Arabidopsis thaliana: one gene and its partners. The protein of the gene in region 1 interacts with the protein of each later gene in a pairwise test. Each region holds a gene or a part of one and is shown on either strand. Other genes may lie near its edges.

The links. Proteins that work in one complex are often made in the same cells at the same time.
Region 2: the proteins of DDL (region 1) and AT1G30860 interact in a two-hybrid assay, tested with the Arabidopsis thaliana proteins (one large-scale study listed by BioGRID).
Region 3: the proteins of DDL (region 1) and HB23 interact in a two-hybrid assay, tested with the Arabidopsis thaliana proteins (one large-scale study listed by BioGRID).

Annotation. Positions count from the first base shown.
Region 1 is NC_003074.8:7,172,228-7,180,715, reverse strand, and holds DDL (SMAD/FHA domain-containing protein), read left to right. Parts: upstream 1-2,695; 5' UTR 2,696-2,844; intron 2,845-3,081; 5' UTR 3,082-3,115; coding exon 3,116-3,490; intron 3,491-3,950; coding exon 3,951-3,982; intron 3,983-4,061; coding exon 4,062-4,128; intron 4,129-4,239; coding exon 4,240-4,297; intron 4,298-4,649; coding exon 4,650-4,742; intron 4,743-5,264; coding exon 5,265-5,379; intron 5,380-5,493; coding exon 5,494-5,541; intron 5,542-5,632; coding exon 5,633-5,678; intron 5,679-5,766; coding exon 5,767-5,837; intron 5,838-5,981; coding exon 5,982-6,021; 3' UTR 6,022-6,280; downstream 6,281-8,488. Other genes in the region: AT3G20557 (uncharacterized protein), read right to left, coding at 1-95, 183-245, 358-576; AT3G20555 (uncharacterized protein), read left to right, coding at 2,102-2,242, 2,325-2,516; POLGAMMA1 (polymerase gamma 1), read right to left, coding at 7,359-7,520, 7,602-7,691, 7,770-7,976, 8,063-8,155, 8,379-8,488. UniProt on the Arabidopsis thaliana protein: Involved in the microRNA (miRNA) and short interfering RNA (siRNA) biogenesis. May facilitate DCL1 to access or recognize primary miRNAs. Binds RNA non-specifically.
Region 2 is NC_003070.9:10,984,242-10,992,143, forward strand, and holds AT1G30860 (RING/U-box superfamily protein), read right to left. Parts: upstream 5,353-7,902; 5' UTR 5,006-5,352; coding exon 4,253-5,005; intron 4,154-4,252; coding exon 4,035-4,153; intron 3,948-4,034; coding exon 3,264-3,947; intron 3,180-3,263; coding exon 2,858-3,179; intron 2,770-2,857; coding exon 2,455-2,769; 3' UTR 2,255-2,454; downstream 1-2,254. Other genes in the region: RSH4 (root hair specific 4), read left to right, coding at 875-1,777; AT1G30870 (Peroxidase superfamily protein), read left to right, coding at 7,294-7,581, 7,883-7,902.
Region 3 is NC_003076.8:15,908,883-15,915,114, reverse strand, and holds HB23 (homeobox protein 23), read right to left. Parts: upstream 3,766-6,232; 5' UTR 3,573-3,765; coding exon 2,568-3,572; 3' UTR 2,255-2,567; downstream 1-2,254. UniProt on the Arabidopsis thaliana protein: Putative transcription factor. Probably involved in establishing polarity during leaf development through the gibberellic acid (GA) signaling pathway.

The DNA of each region.
Region 1 (8,488 bases):
GATAACATCGACAAAGGGACTAAGCAAAGTCCTCTCTTCTTCAATTCTGCGCAGTATTCTTCAATCTTTATCCCATTTTTATTCAATATTTTCTCCTACAAATCCCGTATGAATATTTTTGTTAGCCGCCAAAATAACTTTCATTTATGAAAAGATATATTAGAAAACATGAAGTTTCTTACCTCAATCTTACCATTGTTCATGGTTTTTTCTTCTATCGTATTGTCTTCCATTCCACTGTAACCCTGAAGAGACAAGCATAGCCATTTAGACTAACCTATATATGTATGTGTAATGTGTGTATCAATGTATGTATCATGAACATAGTAAGATATATTGTCTTATTCTTGGACTAACCTCGGTTCTGTTAGAAGGAGATGAAGCGGTGTCTTCTTCGACACAACCCATAGGAGAAGCAGCGTCTGACATCATTGAAGAATCATCGTAATGGCCTAATCCATCTTCTGTTTCAAAGTACATTGTCCAACTACTCTCTTCTAGACCCTCTTGCATAGTTCTCTGTTGATTAGAGAAATTTGTTCGCCTCACACAGTTGCTTAGTGCTGAGTTTTCCATTGAGACTTTCTTAGATAATTAAGAGGGCTGGTGAAGAGTAGTTTGATATTATAATAGAGAGATGTGAGAAGCTATTAAAATGGTTCTTAGATTTTTATTTGCCTAATTCTCTCAAATGTGACCTCTATATAGTGGGGGAGGCAGAGGTCAGGAATGTTGTAGGTTTGGCACGATTTTGGCCCTTTGTTCTTATTATTGTTTAAGTATTTACTTGTTATAATATTATTTTGTTGGTTTTAATATTCTAAATGGCAGTTGAACAGTTTGATTTCTTTATGTACGTGCAAGAACAAATAAAGATATACAAGAGAAGTGGATCACCTTCTTGTTGTAGTGGAGATTATAAATGTACACATCAACTTGAGATTTGCTAAATTGTAATCTTTTTAGTTAGCACACAATATATAACATAACAACATAAAGTACTTTTGATGGGTGAACCTAAATGTATTTTGGTAGTTTTCCAATAAAAGTGTTAATTTAGATAAAAACATTTGCCTAATGATACATTTGCCTGATGATAATCACAAATTCACAGAAACAGTAGATAAGGATCAAATTTTATATTGTCCATTAATGAAAATAATTTCGATAGAAGCTGAAACAAGATATATTAATTTCATTTTAGCTTATATTCTCCGTTATCTAGCGTTTGATGTAACATTTATAAGTATATATCTGTATTAAGTACAAGAATTTGTTGAGGAAGGAAAAAGTGTTCTTACAAACAAAAATATAAATTTGTCAATGATGGAGACATGTAATTCGTGGGGAACTGCTACTAAGTGTTTAACGATAATATATATGGTTTATAACGTGACAAGGTGATGATAGTCAATTCATCTATTTGAAAATCCTTCAACAAAAAAACAGAAAACGTGATGAAGGCAACATTAGGCTAACACCACAAATAGCTAATTGATATATAAATATAGTCGGTCCACGTTCTCGAACCTTTATAGTCCGGCAGGATAATTATTTTACTATTGTCTAGCTTACAAAACATGTACGACATATTGCACTTTTAGATTGTGAGATACGAATTGTGTGAATTTGTAAAGTTAGTACCGAATCTTTGATGGTTGTTATAATAATTTGCCTCTTTTTCATCAGCAATCTATGACGTAAGAGGCTACGTATGTTCGCTTAAAATTTGACCTAATTTGGACTTTGTCATAGTGAAACCGTATGACAATAACGAAGAAGGTGACGGTGACCGATTCTGATATATGTGACAGTCTAGCCAGTATTTTGCAAAACATAAGATACTAATGAAGTGCATGATGCATGACCGATATTTGAATTAGATATACAAGCCGGCTGGTAGATCATTAGACAACATTTGTTTGTGTGTCTATGATGCGAAAAAAATAAATATTCTCAATCTTTGACAAAAAATATAATAATGACAAAGTACATATCGTTTTGTTCATACGTAAACAAGAATTAGTTTTTAATCGTCTATAATATTGGCGTACACTAGTATATACATGAAACTAAAGATACATCAAATAAACAAGGAGACATGATTTGGGATTCGATGAGCCATCACCCGACAAACCAAAGCATCACCCGAGAAACTCATACTGACCCGTCTCTAAAGCTCGAGTCTATGAATGCTGTCTTCCACATAAGCTTCAAGGCCAACAGTTGCGACTACAAATCGGTAGTAAGGAGAACTACAGATGGGATTTCAGGACATATGTTCCTCGAAGTTGAAAATTTCTCTCCACAAGTTCCTTCATGAGAGGATCAAAGTTGGTGGTAAACCTGGTGCACTCTGTTACAATCAGAACAAGATCACTGTCACTTCTGATGGTTTATGTCGTTTAGCTATCCACCTCAACTATATCTATGATCTTGTATTTGTCTTCTATCCTATCAAAGTTGGTGGTAAAGCTGGTGCACTCGATTTGTTACAGGCTCACCGATTTGTTTGATGATCAATTATAAAATCTTTGTTGCAAACTAGGACGAAGAAACAAAAATCTCGAAGGAAGTACAAGGGTACGACGTTACAAGCGGCTTCTGCCCTAATTATACATATCCTTTCTACCAAACAAGATATGACACGTGTCAACTAATGGAAGTTTTACCATACCGTCTACAATTTGTTTGATATTGAACCCCTCAGTTTCCATTTATTTGCAAAAGAGGCCAAATAAATGATTCTTCTCGTTTTGGCTCTGATTCTTTTTATCTCTGCGATTATTATTATTCACTCTCTCCTCTTCTCTCCGCCGAAGTAGTCACAGTTCCGGCCACCAGGTAAAATTTTTCTTTCTCGTTATGCAGCGATTTTTTCTCTTAACGATTCTTGCAACCCTAGACTATGCCCGGAACTTCTGAATTTAGTATTTGAAATCTGTAGCTTACGTTTTTTGGTTTAGGGCTTTTGCTCCATTTCTAGTTTCTATGCATTTGGGAATTAGGGTTTACTGTGTTATCTGGAGCTCACATGCCTTTTCCTTCTGACCCTGGTTTCAATTTGTGATCTTTCCAAAGGCAAAGAAGAGAGAAAACGACCCTGACTCCAATAATGGCTCCTAGTTCTAGGTCTCCTTCACCACGTACGAAGAGACTGAGAAGAGCTCGAGGAGAGAAGGAAATTGGGAGAAGTAGAGAGAGAGAAGATGATGGTAGAGAAAGGGAGAAGAGAAACAGTAGGGAAAGGGATAGAGATATAGGAAGAGATAGGGATAGGGAGAGAAAAGGAGAAGGAGAAAGAGATAGGGAAGTTGGGGATAAGAGAAGACGATCAGGGAGAGAGGATACTGAAAAAAGGAGAAGGACAAGAACAGATGATGAGAGATACTCTAGAGGAAGACATGAGAGGTCTACTTCACCGTCAGATAGGAGTCACAGGAGTAGTAGGCGTTCACCTGAAAGAGCTATTGCCTCAAGGCATGATGAGGTATTTCTGCTTCTTTCTTTAGCTTGGATATGTTCTTAATCTCAGAAGTGTTTTTTTTTTTGTTTTGGGTTTTACTTGTGCATATTCGTATTCTGCTTGAAAAGATAAATGTGATTGAAATTGTTTAGCTCTGATGTATGCTAGAAAAGGTTAGCCTCTGCTGCTTGTTTCGTCACATAATAAATAATTGGAATCCTGTAATCTAGCTTATCCATCTCGTGAGTCTATAACTAGAACCTGCAGCCAGCCATTTTTTGCTTACTCTGTTGCTAAAGGACTTAAGAAAGATAGTCTCTTTGTTTCCCTTCAGCATGTCCAGTAACATCACTTCTCATGTTTCTCTCTTTTTAGTAAAAGCTCATTATATAGATTATGGTTGCTTTCTGCAAATTATCATTTTCTGCGAGCCACAGATTTTTGTTACTTCTTCAGTCATTTTTATCGCCTTTTGTCTTTTCAGGGGTCTAATGCAAGAGGGGGCAGCGAGGAGCCGTGAGTTTTCTTCTTATTAGATTAGCCGTTACAATTTTTCAGTCTTTCTTTTAACCATGTTATGGGTTTTCGTTAACAGAAATGTCGAGGAAGATTCAGTCGCGAGAATGAGAGCAGTTGAAGAGGCTCTGGCAGCGAAGAAAAAGGTATTATATCAAGCCCTATTGATTTTCAATTTCCAATGTCATTTTGAGCTCGCTTAGCTCATCCATGCATAAATGCTAACGCTTCAAATCTAATTTTGATATATCTTGTAGGAAGAACCATCATTTGAGCTATCAGGGAAACTTGCTGAAGAAACTAACAGATACAGAGGTGAAACTTCTGATCCGTCCATTTCATTTAAGAATATCACCTGTTACCATTACCTTGTGCTAGAAACTTTTGCCATAGTGTTTTCATTGCATGTTTGAACTGCGAAACATCTGCCTTTGTTGTCAGGTCATATTTACTTAATTTTGTATGCGTACGTGTCTGTCACTGGGTAAAAGCTTTCTTTGGTCAATATCTAATGAGACTAGAAGCTTCAATATATAAGCATCTGCTATCAGCAGATATCTTTTGACTGCCAATCCGCTTTTGCTCCTAGGAATGGAGACGGTGGTTTCTCGCATTAAATTTCACCATAGGCATGCTTAGCTTCCTTGACTGAGTGAATCCTTTGCAGGTATCACACTCCTCTTCAATGAGCCCCCAGAGGCTAGAAAACCCAGCGAACGATGGAGACTGTATGTTTTTAAGGATGGTGAACCACTGAATGGTGAGTCTTTGACGTCTTCCACATCTCTATCCATCTGTCTAAGTAGTGGTTCATTTGTCTTCTATGTATTTCACTTAACTATCTTACTGTGGTGAACGTCAATTTTTTGTCCACAAAATATGCAGTAAAGCATGTAGTGGCAATGAAAGAGATACTCAAGAAATTTTGATGCACTCTAGCCATGTAAACTTGAAAACTGTGGTCATTGATGGTTTAGTGTCCAGATAACAGCGTGATTACCGATAGTAGCCAAACTATAGCTTGATACTTCTTAGAACTTGTCAATTTTCTTAGAATGAATCTTATTATGAATGTTAATGACTCTTAGAGGAAAAATAGCTCCTTTGATCTGATATGTTTGTGACTGTGGCTTCCCGTGTCATTCTTACTTTGAACCCCTGAACATTGTATATAAGATTTTACATTTTGTTTCCCATTTCTGTTTGCTTAATAATTCTGAATGCCCTGAATCAGTTTTCTTGATGTATGTTTCTGTGCATGTGAAATGTGTTGGACTAACAGAGCCACTCTGCCTTCACCGCCAAAGCTGCTACCTCTTTGGACGTGAAAGAAGGATTGCCGACATTCCTACGGATCACCCATCTTGCAGCAAGCAGCATGCTGTCATTCAGTACCGGTAGGGTTCTGACATGTATTTCTCCTTTTAAGTAGTAATATCTATGACAATAGATTTAATGAGAATAAGGTTTTTAGTTTAATATTTATGTCACTGTGAATGTGCTTTTCTCAGGGAAATGGAAAAGGAGAAACCAGATGGTATGATGGGGAAGCAAGTGAAGTAAAACCTATCTGCTCTTTCATTTTGCTTAAAATTTGTACCTCTTCTGGCTTTAAGCTAAATTTTAATTTCCCTTAATGTCACTTTCCAGGCCTTACATAATGGATCTTGGTAGTACCAACAAAACTTATATCAATGTAAGTGCTCAATTACATTCCTTCTTATGTGCTTCTTTATCATGGTTAATTCAAACGTTTGTGATTAGAACTTCTTTTACTTTTTCAGGAAAGTCCCATTGAGCCACAAAGATATTATGAGCTTTTTGAGAAAGACACCATAAAGTTTGGCAACAGCAGGTATTCTAATGAAGACACATTCTAGTTCTGGTTTCCCATTATGAATCATACCCCGTGCCTATTCTCTGTGATTAATCTTTGCTTGCTGTGCAGTTAACATCTACTTTCTTCTGTTCTTGACATGTTTTGTTCTTTTGGTTGCAGCCGAGAGTACGTACTGTTGCACGAGAATTCTGCCGAGTGAATGAAATCAGAGTCAAGCAGAAACGAGTAAATCACAAGATTAGATAGTTGCGTTTCTCAGGGTTTTTAGAGATGTTTGAGCTGCTTCATGTATGCTTTCTACCGTGCTGGTGATAATCTCAGACATCATTTAGAAATCTTTTGCTTGCTTGTTATATAATAAATGATGATGAACGATTGGTAAGAGAAAAAGGTTAACTTTTGGTATAACTGTATAAGATCAATCTCTACTTTAAAATTGTCGCTCCCTGAGGGTTTCGACCTAACTTAACGTAGAAACATGGAGACGACTGAGATTTCAACTAGAGTTACCAAAACGGACATCACTTTCTTAGTAAGATAAAGCTAACTCTGCGATTGAAAACTACTTATTTGTCAAGCCTTTAGTGAGGGATTCAAGGATCAAGTCACGGATCTCCTCCCTGCTTGCTCAGTCAAGAGTGGTTCTGCCGTCAGCATCCTTAACCGTGTAGTCAGCGTTTGAGAAGCTCTTCAATTTTAGGCTTGTCTCCCTCCGAGACTGCTAGCATTAAAAGGATGTCGACATGGTGCATCTTATCTTAGGTACCTTCCACCGCAAGTATCCCCATGTAGTTAAAATACTGCAAATAACACAGAAACGACAATAATAAATCTAACATTTCCTCTGTTTTCTTCATTCACAAACTCAGACACAACCACGTACGGAAGCTTTTATAAGCGCCCTTGTAACAAAACAAAGATTGACATATTTGACTCTAGAAGCTTGAAGTGAACACGAACCTGTTCGACGTCGTCTCTGTCAAAATCATCACGTGACTGGCTGCCATAGATTCCAGCATTCTCAGCATCGACGCCGTTCTTTCCGAACTTAAACGAGGCAGTGGCTCTGACCTATTGGAGGGTCCGAGTCGGATAAGTCTGATCCCGAGATTCACAACCCTAGTTCCAAGAAACCGAGAGGAGAGGCTAAGTGGGGTAGAAGAAGTGTTGTTGAGTTTGGTGGTAGAGGAGAATAAACTCGCAGAAGAGCTATGCATGGTGAAATGGAAGCCATGATACTGCCTCGAAGCTTCTTGCGAGATTGTAATTATTATCATCTACTCGTTCACTTTTCTTTGATAAGATTACTCTGTTTTCTCATTAAAAACACCGACTCTTCAAGCCTACTAATTTACACAGCAATGTATCTTTTAACATAAAGAAGATGACAACAATTAGCTTTCATTAGCATAAACAAAATGACCCTTTCTCACATATGAACAGATTTTCTCAGAGCCAATGAGACAAAAAAAAAAAAAACCTCAAGCACTGCCTCATTGTTAGCTTTCACTAGCAAGATCTTTTTCTATTTTCCTCTTATTTGCCAGCATACCAGTTCTGAGCACACTTAGCATCAACAGATAAGTCGACTGAGAGAATATTCTTGCCGTTGAAGGGTTCAGACATGCAGTTCACAACTATGTCTTTAGCGTTCTCCGCTGACTCACTTGGTCCTTCCAAGATTACTTCATCATGAACCTGTAGGTAGCCCAAAAGAAATCATTTAGATAAACAATCATCTAACCTGTAGTTATGTAAAGAATCTGTGAGAAGTATTACTTGTAGAAGCAATTTCCAACCAAGCTCTTTTAGCCGTTGATTATTTGATATCTCCAGCATAGCGCACATAGCAACATCAGCCGCACTTCCCTGTATTAATAGTGGTGATTGAGGTTTAAAGTCGATAGAGTTCAAGATGGTTAAGATCTGATGATAGTGCAAACAAACCTGAACAGGAGTGTTGATTGCTGCTCGCTCGATATGGTTCTTTTGGGCACGTGAACGGTATTCAGGGAATTTACGAGCCCTTCCCAACAAAGTGAGTACATACCCTTTTTGTATAGCTTCTTTCTTGCGTAGTTCTTGCCATTTCCGGACTTCTTGTCTGTCATTATACCAGAGATTAACTGTATCTTGAGCTTCTTCTCTTGATACCTGAAAGATGGAAAACAGGCTTCTGTGAGCTTATTATCTTATATCAAGCTTGTTCATATCAATCTTAACGGCTTAGTTGATAGTACCTTCCAATCTCTAGACAGCCCAATAGCAGTCTTCCCATACGCAATCGAGAAGTTAAGCATCTTTGCTTTTCTTCTCTCAGAAGCAAAGGCATCCTGAATAAGTAAGAAAACATTTTGCCAGCTGTTAGACGAATTCAGGAACAAAGTTTAGTTTCCCTAGTCTGTATAAGTCGACTGTTGCAATCTTAAAGTGCCAAAGGGATGAAAGAGTCCCGCTCTGCAGTTCAGCACTAATAGAACTATTCTTTTAGCTTACAAGCAAAATGAATAAAAGAGTTAAAAATCCCTGTTTCAAAAACATTTAACCAGGATTCACCTTCAACAATGGCACTGGCGGCTTCTCTTGTCCAGGTTGTGGATGCCATTCAAGGAGCACTTCACCATTTTCAACAGCTTCACGAATATGAGGATACATATTCATGGCTG
Region 2 (7,902 bases), on another chromosome or scaffold:
AATCTTATTTCTGGTTAAAGTGTGTTGTCTCCTGAAACTCTCAACGCCAAATATAACTAAATTATTGTTTGTATTATTTAGTTCCATGTTAGTTTTTCTACTGTGAACATGGAATTTTTGTTAAACATTTGTTGATTTGGACGTTTGTGGAACGTTTCAAAGAACCGCTTGTCAACATTTGCACAATTGCATTCTCTTATTGGTTAACACAGTTTCCGGGATTCTAGAACGCCAAAAAAGCACAGAAGGTTTAATACTTATTGTTTTGTCTAAGGAGAAGGAAAATGCGCAATACTTTCTTAAACCTTTTGTAGGTTTATGAAGTGTTTGATTTTTCAGATAAAATGAGAATCAAGTTCGATGTACCATGTTCACATGTGACTTTGTACTATTTCGAATGTTTCTTGGCAAGTAATTTCGAATCCTTTTCGTAAGTAGAACTAATTCCACATGTCACAAAAGTGTTGACTTACCTATAGAAAAGGCAGAGGAACACATACACACACACAAACGCTTACTAAACTCAAAAGTCAGAATGATAAGGTCACAAACTACGTGCAAACCATTTCATCGGTCCCCATCTAACATCCTAAAATTGAAAAATCAAACCTTATATTTTTTCCTTGAATTCTCATTTTATTTGAATATATTTTCGATCTATAGACACACATTAATCATGATAGTAACCACATGTCAAAATCTTAGGACAAAGATAGAACCGACATGTAAGTCACTACTTTTGCCATGAACGTGCTTACCATTTTCTTTTATATTCCTACTACTTATATCTCTATCCTCTCCATATTTTTTACCCGTAAAATTATAAACCCATTTTCAAAATCTGATCTTTTTTTTTTCGTTGACAAATCTAGTTATGCCTCCTCCGGCAATGCTTGCGTTTGACGATGGTTTAGCCCGGAAATCTAACGATAATGAGTGGCAAGGTTTCAGAGTTTTTCCAGGAGAAAATACTAACCCTAACCCTAATATAAATTTCTTGGTTAAGAAGGCAATTCTGCAGAACGAGAAATCAATCACTCCTCTTTTCTCCCGTTCGTCGGCAAGAGATGATAGCTTCAGAATTGTGTTGCCGCCGGCGTTGCCTCCTCCTAGAGACTCCACCGTTCCGCTTCCTATGCTTCCGGAGCCGATGAGAGTCCGGAAGAAGCTTAGCCACCAAGAATCAGTCATATTTATGAGCAAATCGCGTTTCGCAGAGAAAATCCTCTACAAGGAAGAAGATTTCAAATGTAACGCCTTCTGCTTGTCTCTACCTGGCTTCGGAAAGAACAAGCTGATTAGATCTTCTTCGAAACGCCAAAATTCTATGGAGAAGAAGATGATCAGAGCTTCTTCCTTCACGGGATCAACTGTTTCTGTACGCGCCTCGCTAGAGAAATTCGAATGCGGTTCTTGGGCATCGACGACAGCTCTTATTCAAGATAACGGTCGGTTGTTTTTCGATTTTCCGGTTGAGATGACGAAGTGCAACAGCCGCGGTGGAAATGGAGGAAGAGATGTGCAAGAACCGGTGACCTCTGGTTTCTTATTCGATAGAGAAACAGAGACTTTGGCTCTGAGAAGCGTTTTAAAGACGAGGAGTACTCGTGATCACCGGAGATCAGCTGAGTCTTCACCGCAACGTCGTGTTAGGTTCTCGACTTCGTCTTCATCGGCTTCAGTTTCGTGCCCTACTTCGCCTCGAACTTGTATCACTCCACGTTTGCGTAAGGCTAGAGATGACTTCAACACCTTCTTGACCGCACAAAACGCTTGAATAAGGAAAACAAAAACAGAACACAGAGTTTTATTTATAATATGTATGTATGAAATGAGTGTAATGTATCTACGGATGATGTGTAAATATTATGGAGAGAAAGAGAGTGTTGAGTCTTTGAGAAATCAAAATCGATAAAGGGTTTATGATTCTAAAACAACTCAAAAAGTATAATTTTTAGTGTTTGCTTAGAAGCTCTATCTCCAATTTTTGAGGGTTTGTTTGGCTTTGTTGAATCTTTATGAAATAAATTTGACCAAGAGTAGATGATTATGAGAGTATTTTATAATCTATGTGCTTCACTTTTGCATCGAAGATCTGTTTTCAGACTTTAATCTACAATTTTTAGAGTGTACTCAATGAGGTATCAAAATCAATGAAATGATGGTTACTAGAGTAATTGCAAAAATTCATGTATGTTTCCAAGCTCTGTTTGTGACTTGCCTTTTCAGGTTTTAAGGTTTATTTTTAGGCTATTTTCCGTTAATTTTTTTGGTTGGTTTAGGAGATCAAAAACTTCATAAAACTGGACAAAGTGTTGGTAACATAACCTAAAAACTGTATAAAGAGAGCATAATACGATATTCAGACCCAAAACGCCAAATAACGCAAACTCGATAAGGAAAAGAGGGTTTAATGGGTTAGTGAATTCTTCAGCGTTTTCAAAACGGTTGATTTCAGTTTCTTGTATCGTAGATGACACGAACAACGTCAACAATCTGAGCTCTGCAAATCGGACATTTCCCTCCACTCCAATGTAGTTCGTTGGCACATTTTAGGCACATGCACATATGTCCACACCTGTACAAAACCGCCTCGACCTGTGTTTCGTCGCAGACGCAGCATTTTCGTTTCATTGGGTTTTCTTGGTGAGCCTTGTGTTGCAAGCTCGCGTTAGCATCTAAACACGTTTTGACAGAATCTCGTAGTACTGACATTTCTTGCTGAAGCTGTTGGATCTGTGATCTCATACCGCTTATCAGCTCCATTTCCTGAAAACGTTTATATGCGGCTCAATGAGTTTACCACTAGTGCGGTTGCGAGTTTCTATAGTATAACAAGAAATCGATAAACACTCACAGGTGACTGAGGATTCTGAACAACCAAGGCAGGAGTGGAAGTAACATCAGTGTCTTGAGAACTCCATGATCCTGCAGGAGACGATGCAGATATATGTGAAGACGACGATTGGCTCAAGTCATCTCTATCATCTTGCTCTTCACCTCCTCTTAATGGCTCTTCTTTGATTTCTTCATCAATTTCAAAATTTACTTCCTCCTCTTCTTCTTGTTGCAATTCCCATTTTTTGGAGTGCTTATCCGAGTGTGTCTGTACACGGGACATCATGAGATTATCGATCTTCTCTCGCAACCCGCTGTCGAGGAAATCTGTCACCGTTCTTCTGTATTAAGCAGGGAAATTCATTTTCTTAGTCAGTTATTAACCATTAAGAAACATGAGCTTGTCAATTTTGATGGTTACTTACCGCTCAAGGAGTCTGCATATGTCATCTTTCTCAGACCTAGTGTTCATTACTTCCAGGTACCGTGACTTCCTCAATTCCTCCCAGTAACTCCGAGGCCTAGCTATTTCACTAAGCCAGTCGTCGTTATATTCTCCATAATAAGACTGCTCATCTGCATACTCTTCTTGTTCTCCCCATCTATTCAAATAGGATGTTTCTTGTTGATCAAGGCACTGGTCCATCTCATTACTCTCATGAACTAGACCTTCTGTTTCTCGAGTTTCTTGCATATACTTTCCCACATTGTTCTCGTCTTGATTCTGTCTCAACCGCGATTCTCGAGATAAATATTCACTCGGGCTAGTATTTTCTTCTTCTTTCTTTTCAGACTTGCCATCGTTGCAAGTTTCTTCTACTTCTCTTGTTTCTTGCAGCTGAAGGCAATTCTTTTGTGAATCAACTGTTCCACTTACAGATTCTTCTTCCTTACATAACGTTGCTTCCTCTATCTTGCGGTTACGGGGTCTCAACCGCTCTGCGAAAAAAGCTTCGAGAGTAACACCACCATCCTTTAACCTCGTGCTTGTGGTAGTAGTTCCTTCTGTTTCTTCTACGGATTTGTTGTTCATCTCAGTGGATCGTTGATGATTCTTCCTCTTATCTGTTGCAGCCGCAGAGTTTACTACGTTCGCATGAAATTTCTCCCTGCGTTGCCAATCAAAGATTGAAAATCTGAAGAAAGTAAACCCTAAGAACTAAACTCAAAACATAAAACAGAGAATCTGAAAAAACCTTAAATGCAGAACAGCAGAGCCTGATTCAATTCGGTTTAATCCGGTTGTTTTTGCGTTAGACCGGTTTCTATCTTGAATCACAAGACAGCGATTGAGGTTCCTTAACCTTAGCATTGACTGGTTAAATAATGTAATTAGAAAAACCATTTAGTGGATTATGAATAAAGTCACAAATATGTTAGTTATTTTTATCAAAATAGTGAAAATATAATTTACCTGGAGACGACCACGTTGAGTAAACCTAGAAACTGCGTTGCGTTCAAAAAGCGAATCCAATTCACGGTGGCGATCACGTTCCATTTGCATAAGAAAATCGGTAAACGCTTGTCGTCCTCGTATCTTCGGAGAGAAACTAACCACCGGAAAATTACTTTTCTCCGATGACGACGAAGTGCAATAAGGCCTCGGCGTTCTGATAATCTCGAGTCCACCGCCACCGCCGCTGCCATTATCTCCAGCGGTTCGTTTCTTGTCTTCGTTGCTAAGCCTCCGAATTAGGTCAGCGACTCGTCCCCATTTACTTTCTCCGGAATCAGAAACCAAACCATGTGACCTAGATTCAATCTCCACCGTTCGATCAGCAATTTCAGAATCTCCATCGATTGATGAAGATTCTGAAAGACCGGAATCTTGAACACTAACTCCTGAATCGCTCCGACTACTACTACTCGCCGTAGATTGACTGCTACTCGGCGAGTTTCCACCGTTGGATCGGTTTAGCCTCGCCTCCCATATCTGAACCAAAGAAGAAGCCACAAGATTGTCGTTTCTCTTCGATTCTAACGGAGATTCAAGAACACGATTGTTCTTGTTATTGTGAGTTTCGATCCAAGAATCAACTAAATTCTCATCGGAGACATGAGATTTCAAAACCTCTTTCACCGGAGATTTCAGATTCTTTTGAAAAACGCCAGCGTTTTGGTTACGATCTCTTAAGATTAAACCGAATCTCTGAGGAGAAGACACCATTTTTTTACGATCTAAGAATCGAACAAACGAACATAAAATCAAATAATCATTAGAGTTTTTGAATCGATCGAAAGAAGTTAGAGGACAACTCTGTTTTCTCTGTCTCTCTACAAGAAGAAGAGAAAATGGATTTGTGTTAGTGAAGAGACAGATTTTTCTCTCTGTTTTTTTTTCCTGTTAAAGAAACAGAACAACAACAAACAAACGGTGGAGATACGATGATGATGAAGAAGCAAAACAGAACCAAACAGTATTTGTGCTTATCTATTTAGTAAGAGGACTTATAAATGTTAAGAGTCCTAAAATGGCTCTGTTTTGTCCCTTAAACTGGGGAACGTGTCTGTAAAACAAGGCAATAAAGAATGAGGTGTAAGAATACAGAGAAAGAAAAGCCTTATGTGGCCAAAAGTGATAAATTGTTATAGAAAAATAAAAAAGCTACTTATAATTTTGGACAAAATTGAATTTGAAAGATATTGTATAACACATGTCATTATACTGGTAAAAGCATTTAATTGTGTAATGCATGAAAAAATTAACATTGGATTGTTATACTAATTAAAGGGTGATTAAATTATTTAATAATTAAGGCTCCTAAATATGCTAGAGTCAAAAAGGAGCCGTTGAGGAATTTAGCCGTTGTCGAGTGGGAACCATGCACTTTCTGGATTTTATGCCACATCATAAATCAAATTGAAGAACTAAAGATAACAAACAATTTTAAATTGTATAACTGACAGGAACAAAAACTTTTAAGCAAAGTAAAAATAATTTAATTAGAGAAAATTAGATGTTCAACCCAAGTTTCATGTAGTGTGCGATTTTATTGTAGTGTGGTCAATAGGCCCAGGCATAGTGGTCAATGTCGTGCTTGGGTTAGTCGAATAGAGAGAGAACTTAGGACGAGTTGTGATTTGTGACTCTTATAAAACGATTTAAGAAAAAATAGTCTCTATACAAAATAACGATAATTGAAACCAATAATAAGGTTCACAACCGATCATTTTCGGATCCCGATGAGTTAACGATTAGTCAACGATAGAGTAAAACGACCGATTAATCGAGACTTAGTGTCTATGATATTGGCACATACGACATATATTTCGTATATATATTTCAGGTAACTGGGTATCGTTTATATTAGTTGCGGCATATGTGATAATGTATTCTTCCACACTTCGTATAGCTAGCTGACAATCTTTTTTCTTAAAGTTTAAGTATTAGGAAGTATTATCCGGTAGATAAAGAAGATGGACGATTGAAAAAGCGATTGATACGATTTTTCTTCTGTGATTTTTCCGACCGGCCGGCGTTGGTTCCGACTTCGATTGTACTCTTTTCTCCTTTATAATTCTAGCAAATATTAGTTTACATACATATATTTCAGTTATTAACAATGAGTTCTAGAGAATCAACTGCTTTTGGTTGGCCTCTTTTCACACTGTTGGCGATTTTCATGACCCAAAAATTGAGTTTTCTACAATTATTTGTAAGAAATATAAATTATAAAAACTAGAAAAATATATGAAAAAGTTTAAGGTTTTGACTAGTGAGAATTTGTTGTATAGTTCAAAAAAACTCAAAATTTGAACGTTTGAAAACTTGTTGAGATGCATCAATTTTCAATAAACGTAGCCTATGGTGAATTGTTTTTTTTTTTTTGTCAACATGTCTCTAATGGACCTATTTTTCCGTGCTAAAAAATGTGCAGAGGTAATATCGCTATTTTTGTTAGAGGATCTGAGCAAATTCATTATTAATGATTGTGCAAAAAATTTGTTAATTTCGATATATCACATTTTGCTTTACGGATTACTCGAAAACATACTTTGATGTCATCATCCAGTGTATATATACGTATGTTAATTGTAGACAACAAAATAAAATAATAATAGTCTCACATAACCGACCAAAAAACAAACAAAATTAAATCAATGGAAGTTGTTGACAAATAAATTTTACAATTAATCTAATCCAAATAAGTCAAAACCCTGATTTCAGTAATGTAAAGATCATTATATCATTTTTTCTCTTGTAAAAAGGTTTTTTAAAATTATACTATTAATATATATCATTTGATCAAAAAAAAATTATATATCATAAACATTATATACGACATGCAGGCAAGTCACTCGAATATTCAAATCTTAAAGTTGTGCCTCCCACGTAAAAGCATCACATTAGTTTCCAAACCCAATTGTATATATAAATTACTACACAACACACCTCTCATCAAACAAATTCATCAAAGCCAATCAAATTGAGAGAGATATCAAGAAAGCAAAATAATGAAGTTGGCCGTGGTCTCAGTCGTTGTCATACTCGGAGTTCTCGTGGCTTGGCCGGTATCGGCTGGCCGAAAAGACTTACCTGGAGCGGGAGGATACGGAGGCGATGACGATGATGATACAAAGTCATTGTTCCCTTTGGACAACCTATTATCGTTGAATTATTATGATAGGATTTGTCCAGATTTTGAGAAAATCGTTGTTACGAAAGTGAGGGAATGGACTAAGAGTGACTCTTCCCTTGGTCCCGCCCTCCTCCGCCTTATCTTCCACGATTGTGGCGTCACGGTATTGCAATTAATCGTTCAATTATATATAGCCAATGTTTTGATTCATATATGATTTACATTGTTCTAAAAATGGGTTTCACTATTACTCTATTAGAGATTAGAATTGTTCTTCCGTCTATCTAGACCATACTTGGAACATTGATAGTATATAGATATAAGTTTCTTAATATTGAAGACGGACTTGCGCACTTTATTCTGTGTATAAACGCATCTGAGTGTTTTGCGCATATCTAATATAGTTATGCATTTTAAAAGATAACAACTTGACATTTTTGTACATGAATTAACACAACTTTCAGGGATGTGATGCGTCTGTTCT
Region 3 (6,232 bases), on another chromosome or scaffold:
ATTGTAAATGAAATTGGAACATTATATAATCACAGTGGTTACCATCACATTTAAATTTGAAATATAGACATTTATGTCAAAACATGGCGGGCCATTTCTTTCAAGTCTACATATGATCCATCATATACAAGGAACTGTACTTTCTTTGAAAAATTTAAAAACTTATGGTAAAACCTTTTTTTCTATGGCTTCACTAAGATTGGGTGAAATTATTTTTGTCACTGTACCAAATTTCAGCTGAAAAAACAACTGACTATAGTTATGTACTCTTTTTGGGGGCAAATTATAATTATATACTTATGATTCATTTATTATTTGTTTTCTTGCAGTTCACAATGTAACTCAATAAAATATTACTTCTTATTTCAATAAAACAACTGACTATAGTTATGTACTCTTTTTTTTTTTTTTTTTGGGAAGATAGTAAAGTATATATGTCTAATCTATTTTCGACTGAAAAGGTGATAGACTTATTGTCTTTATATTTTAAAGCTAGAAAATATAAATTACCTCCTAAAAATTGCGGATTTATTTTGAACCAAAAAAATTAAGAAATTACCGATCAATTTTGTACCTACAAAATACTGGAATTACCGATAGACTCATTATATTATACATAATACATTCTAACTTTGAGGTTACATATAATTCTCTATTTAATTTCTTGTTTAGTCTCATATTTTTTATTTTCGGTTCTAAATATATGTATTTTTCTTATAAATTAGAAAGAAAAAAAGTTGAAATTATACTATGGCTAATTTTGTTTTATTTGCGATAATGTGAATTGATGGCTAAATTGATACAAAAATAAATAATACTATTAATTAACAAGTGGTGCACATGGTATATGGCAGTTAGGGCCATAACCTCAGCTTGTGCAAAAGTTTTGTCCCCACCAAGATAATACGGAAAGATATTTGTGACTTGACTAAATGCGTTATATAAATTAAATAAAGAAATAGTAGTAATGAATTGCTTAAATAATTGTAACAAACCCGTATGGGAGATACCCATAATATCCTAATCTCATTCTTTATTGTGAGAGCCGACATATCAGTACTCATCCCTACGTTTCCCCAAATGGAAAGTTATTGTTAAATTATTCATCAACTCAATCATTTGTGTTAGTGCCACGCCTTAAACCCTTATTTAGAAGTTGTATAGATTTTATGGATGCTACGATGTGATATAATAATAGTTATATCAAACTTTAGTATGAATTGTACTAATTCAATCTCTAAGTATAAAAAGGTATATGCTGGTTTGTACTTCTCAAATGAGAATAATCAAAACTAAGCATATATACCAAAAATGGGTTATCGGAATGAATCCATGACAATGACATAGATTAAAGAGGAAATGGTGTTAACAATATTTTTAAAACCAACCCAGTGAATCGGACTACCTTTTGGATCATTGGATCATCGGGTTAATTAGATTAGACTACGGGTCAATTGATTAAAATTTATTTAATAAATTTAATATTAATAGAGATTTTAGAGTTTTTAGAGTTCTTATAAATTTTAAAACAAAAATAATCATTTACATCAAAAAAAAATATAAATATATAATCAAACAATAATAATAAAGTGATGAAATTTTTTAAATCCAACTAAATGTCTAATACCGTAACAAATATAGTAAAAAATCAGCAATGATGGAAATAAACTAATAAAACATCGTGAATTCACACAACTAATATCGGATATCTCACTCACCATTCGATTCATTTTTTAAGGCGGCATTGTGAAGTCTTCATCAAAATCTTAAACATCAAATGGGTTTAAGAACTGAAAAATATCTAAAAATTGATTGAATAAAGTCTAAAATCTCATATTTTATTCCAAAATCAAGAGAATTTTTTAAAACCCACATCCGGCCAGTTCAACTGGTTCATCGGGTCACGGGTTAATGATGAGTTTTTGTGGGTTTTTTCGGTTTTGAACTTGTTGGATTTTAATACTAAACCCAAACCGGAAAAGTGTTCGGGTCACGGTTCAACCGGTCGGACCGGACGGTCCGGGTCGGACGTGAAAACACTGGGTGTTAACAACAATGCTACTAATATACTAATGATGGCTAATCATTTGATATAGAATAAAAAAATAAAATAAAATTAAGAGGATCTAAGAAAGAAAAAAAGTACACCTACTACATCTAGTTTGGTTGCAAATAAAATTAAGAAGAGTACTTTAAAAGATAAGAAACCAAATGAATATTTATAGTAACTAATCATGTTTCACTCGTTTATTAATCTTTTTGTTTCTTCATCCGAAACAAGATTACCACATCAAAAGTGTACCATTTATTGGAGTACTTAGTCACATTTCAGGGTTCATTAATAGAAATGTTTACAACAAATGATATAATTCGAACATTGTTATGGTATTATTCCTCATCGAGCGAGACACCGACGTGGTAAAGAACATTAAATCAAAACTAATAATAATGCAAAAACAAACAAAGCTAAAGATCTTAATTAATATTTAATAGAAAGTTATTAACGATGATAATACGAATAAGCTTACTCTAAGCTTCTTATTAACCTGACACTCTCATCTTTAACTTCACGACGACGATGATCCGTTAACGTTACCACCGTTAGCTCCGCCGCTATCACTATCAAATCCTCCGCCACCACCGCCGCTACTAACACTCTGGTGAAGCTCTCCTCCTCCTCCGACACCGTGGTGTCCATTGTTATGGTTATTAATCTCGCCGGCGAGAATCGGAGTGTGGTTTCCTCCGCCGTTATCGATTTGCCGGATCTCGTTTCCGGCGATATCACGGCGGTTAAAGGTGTTTTTGTTGTTATGCATCCAAACTTTGAGAACACTTTTATCAACTCCGATCTGCCGGCAAAAATCACGAACATCGTCTTCGTCACGTTTTTGCATCTTCCAACCAACACGTTCGGCGAATTCATGCATCTTCTCTTTCTGAAACTGGCTGAATTTTGTTCGGAATCTTTTACGAGATCCGTGAAGAGTATGTTGGTGGTGGTGGTGGTGGTTGTTTCCGGCGGAGAAGTTAAGATCGGAGAAAGAAGCTAAGTTGTTGTTGTTGTTATTAGTACCGGAGAGAGATAAGAGCATGTAAGAGGAAGAGATTGGTGGAGGAGAAGCTGAGTTAGGACTACGTGGTGGTGGAGGAGGTGGTGGTGGTGGTGGATGATGACGGTGGTGAGGTTGATACTCTACGGCGGTGGAAGGAGGAGGAGGGATTTGGGAAGAGTCGTTGTTGTTATCTGGATCACGGCGGTGGAAATTACGGTGGCAGCCACAAGCAGCACATTTGAGAGAAGTTGGATCGGAGGAGATTGACGACGGAGACGGCATGAATTCGCCGCAACCGTCGAGAGCGTGACCACCTAAAGCCGCCGCGTGGTTTTTGAGACATTCTTTGTAAGTAAAGAGGAGAGGATGGTGGTGGTGGTGGTGGCGTTTGATGATGCCGTTGCTAAAGGAAATGGGTTTCGCCGGTTGGATCCGGGTCGGAGTTTCGGATTCGGGTTCGGGTGATTTAGGAGTTGGTGTTGTTGTTGTTGTTATTGTAGGAGTCATATCCATCATAGCTTAAAACATTAATATAACCAATAATTTGAAGAAAAAAAAGACTTAGGGTTTTTGGGTTAAGAGCTTTGAAAATATGGTATGAGTTTCAGAGAATGTGAATAGAAAAATGAAGAAGAAGAAGAAATAAAGATAAGTAAAAAGGTTCTAACTTCTTAAGCTGTTGGAGATTTTTTAATATTACATATTTTCCACTTGATTTTTTATTGGTAATATTCGTTTAGAGGAGGAAAAGAAGAAAATGATATGATGACTATGACGACTGTTGCTGAAGCAAATAAAGAAATAATATTTTGAAAAAGGACAATTGTATTAAACTAAATTTATGATTTTAAATGAAATAATAAAGAGACTTGGATTTAGGGATATTTTAATCAAGGGAACCAAGGTTTGATGATTTTTAACCATGGTTAGGTAGATGGAGTTTGTGGGATCGACAAAGAGAGTGCGTGTTAAATTTTGCGGTGAAAAAGCGTAATAAATGTGGCTACTAGTGTCTTAAACATAAAGGCACAAGTCAAAACTGAAAAAGAAAAAATAAGTCTTATGGTAATAATGGGTTACATTTGTTCTAAGATCAGCAATGTTGTGAAAGATACTCCTTCGACTACAACAAAAACGTTAAGGTCAAACCTTTCAAATGAAGGAATGAGAAAGATCACTTTCTTGTAAAAGTTGGGGGTGAATTTTTAGGTTTCCACTATGGTTAAGTTTATATGGGTGATATTCGACGGAAAATGTCAATTTTGCTAGATTTTGATGAACAAGTTGAGAGCAATGATCGAAATTCCGTCCTTCATATACTAGAGATTATTAGAGGATCCAAAACTAGAGATTATTAGAGGATCCAAAACTATTATGAGAAATCCATTAGCCAATGTAACTAGGGTGATAGCTACTAGAGATTCATATAAATTTGTTTTTAAATATCAATGTATTGTAAGGTAATCTTAAGAGTTGTCTCAAAACAAATTTTTTTCTTTTTCTTTATAAAAGGAATTTTGTGCAAAAATAACTTTCAAAGACGTCAATTTTTACAAATTTATCATCTATCTCTAAAAAAATGCAAAATAATTGTATGAAATCAAAAATAATATGCAATATAGCTTCATTTTTTTGTTATAGTTAAATTTTTAAAATTTTGATAAATAATATATCAAATTAAAATCTTCGAGACGAGGAGTCCAACTCTACTTTCACAATTTTAAAAAGCAAATGTATGTGATCATAGAAACATTTACAATATATGTATAGGGCTATATTGCGTCTTATTTTGTATTTTATAGGATTATTATGTATTTTGTAGAGATTAATGGTAAAGTTGAAAAAATTAGCGACTTAATTATGATTTTTTTTTGCACAAACCCCTTATAAAAATATCAATTTTGAATCATTGTATTCTTGTTGACAAGTTAAAGTCTTTTTTCTTTTCTATTAATTGCATCATAATAAAGTTTTTATAAGCGATTTCATTTCAATCTTTCTATTATTTCTACCTAGCTTAATAAGTCCATTTGAGCTTGAATCCTACTAGCTTTGAATTCTCCCACAGAGATGTTCCTTGGCACAACTATCACGGCCCGTTCGTAAAGAATCATCCACGGACAATGTTTTGCTTAAATAATTGCGGCTCCAAAGAATTCTTTTGGGGAGAGTGCTATTCTGTTCTTAATTAATGCAATCCCAAAACATAATGGGTAGAAGGACTTCATGGTCATGTAAAGGAGATTACATGCAAACGATGAAGATATCTTCGACTTTCTTTTTGGTTAGACTTTAGAGGTAGAGAAGCTAATCTTATAGCAGATTTAGTGGTAATGATTGATGACTTAATGGGCTAATGGAATAATACAATTGGCATTAATTTTTATGGGCCGGGTTATTGCACACATGCAACTATAGTGATTTCAGAACAGCCCATCCGAGGACTTGAGTATAAAATAGACAAATTCAAGAAGGAAGTTTGAAGACCCCAAATTACCCCTTTCTAACGTCTCAAAATGATTGGGTTCGAAGCATAAATCATAGTTACACTTGTTTGTAATCATAGGCATATGTAATCACTAATCATCACTTTATTTGATTTAGCAAGTAACTAAGTATAAACTTATTGGTATAAATTATTTTAATGTTAGACAAATGTATTTCCAAATTAGTTTAAAACTATGTTTATTCTATATTTTTAATTCCTTCATTTTTATTTTACAGTGAGAAAGAGAGAGAGGTAAGAAGTAGCTCTATGTGGGCTGCATAAGCATTCTGTGTGTGTTAGTTGTATAAGTAGAACTAAGCACATGTGTTCCGTAGTGAAACACCAGTTATATGTTATAATAAGCTGAATTATCTCCAACTTGTTTATGGTTAGTTGGATAGTATTTAGCAGCACATGCACTTTCTCTTTCCATAGAGGTTTCCAATGTCACTATTGTATCATGATTGATGCAGGAGGTATACACCAAATTGCTTCACTCTATAGTAGCAACATCAAGTAGGTAGCTTATTAGGGTCTTTTAACAAGTACATGAACATAAATGTGAAATGTTGACAGATAAGGACAACGTTGAAGAAGTCAGGAACACTGTGTACCGGTAACTAGTCTTGATCATGCGGTTTACAATGCAGGCTAAGTTCTGATTCCTCCACAGTGCGCTTTGTCTTTG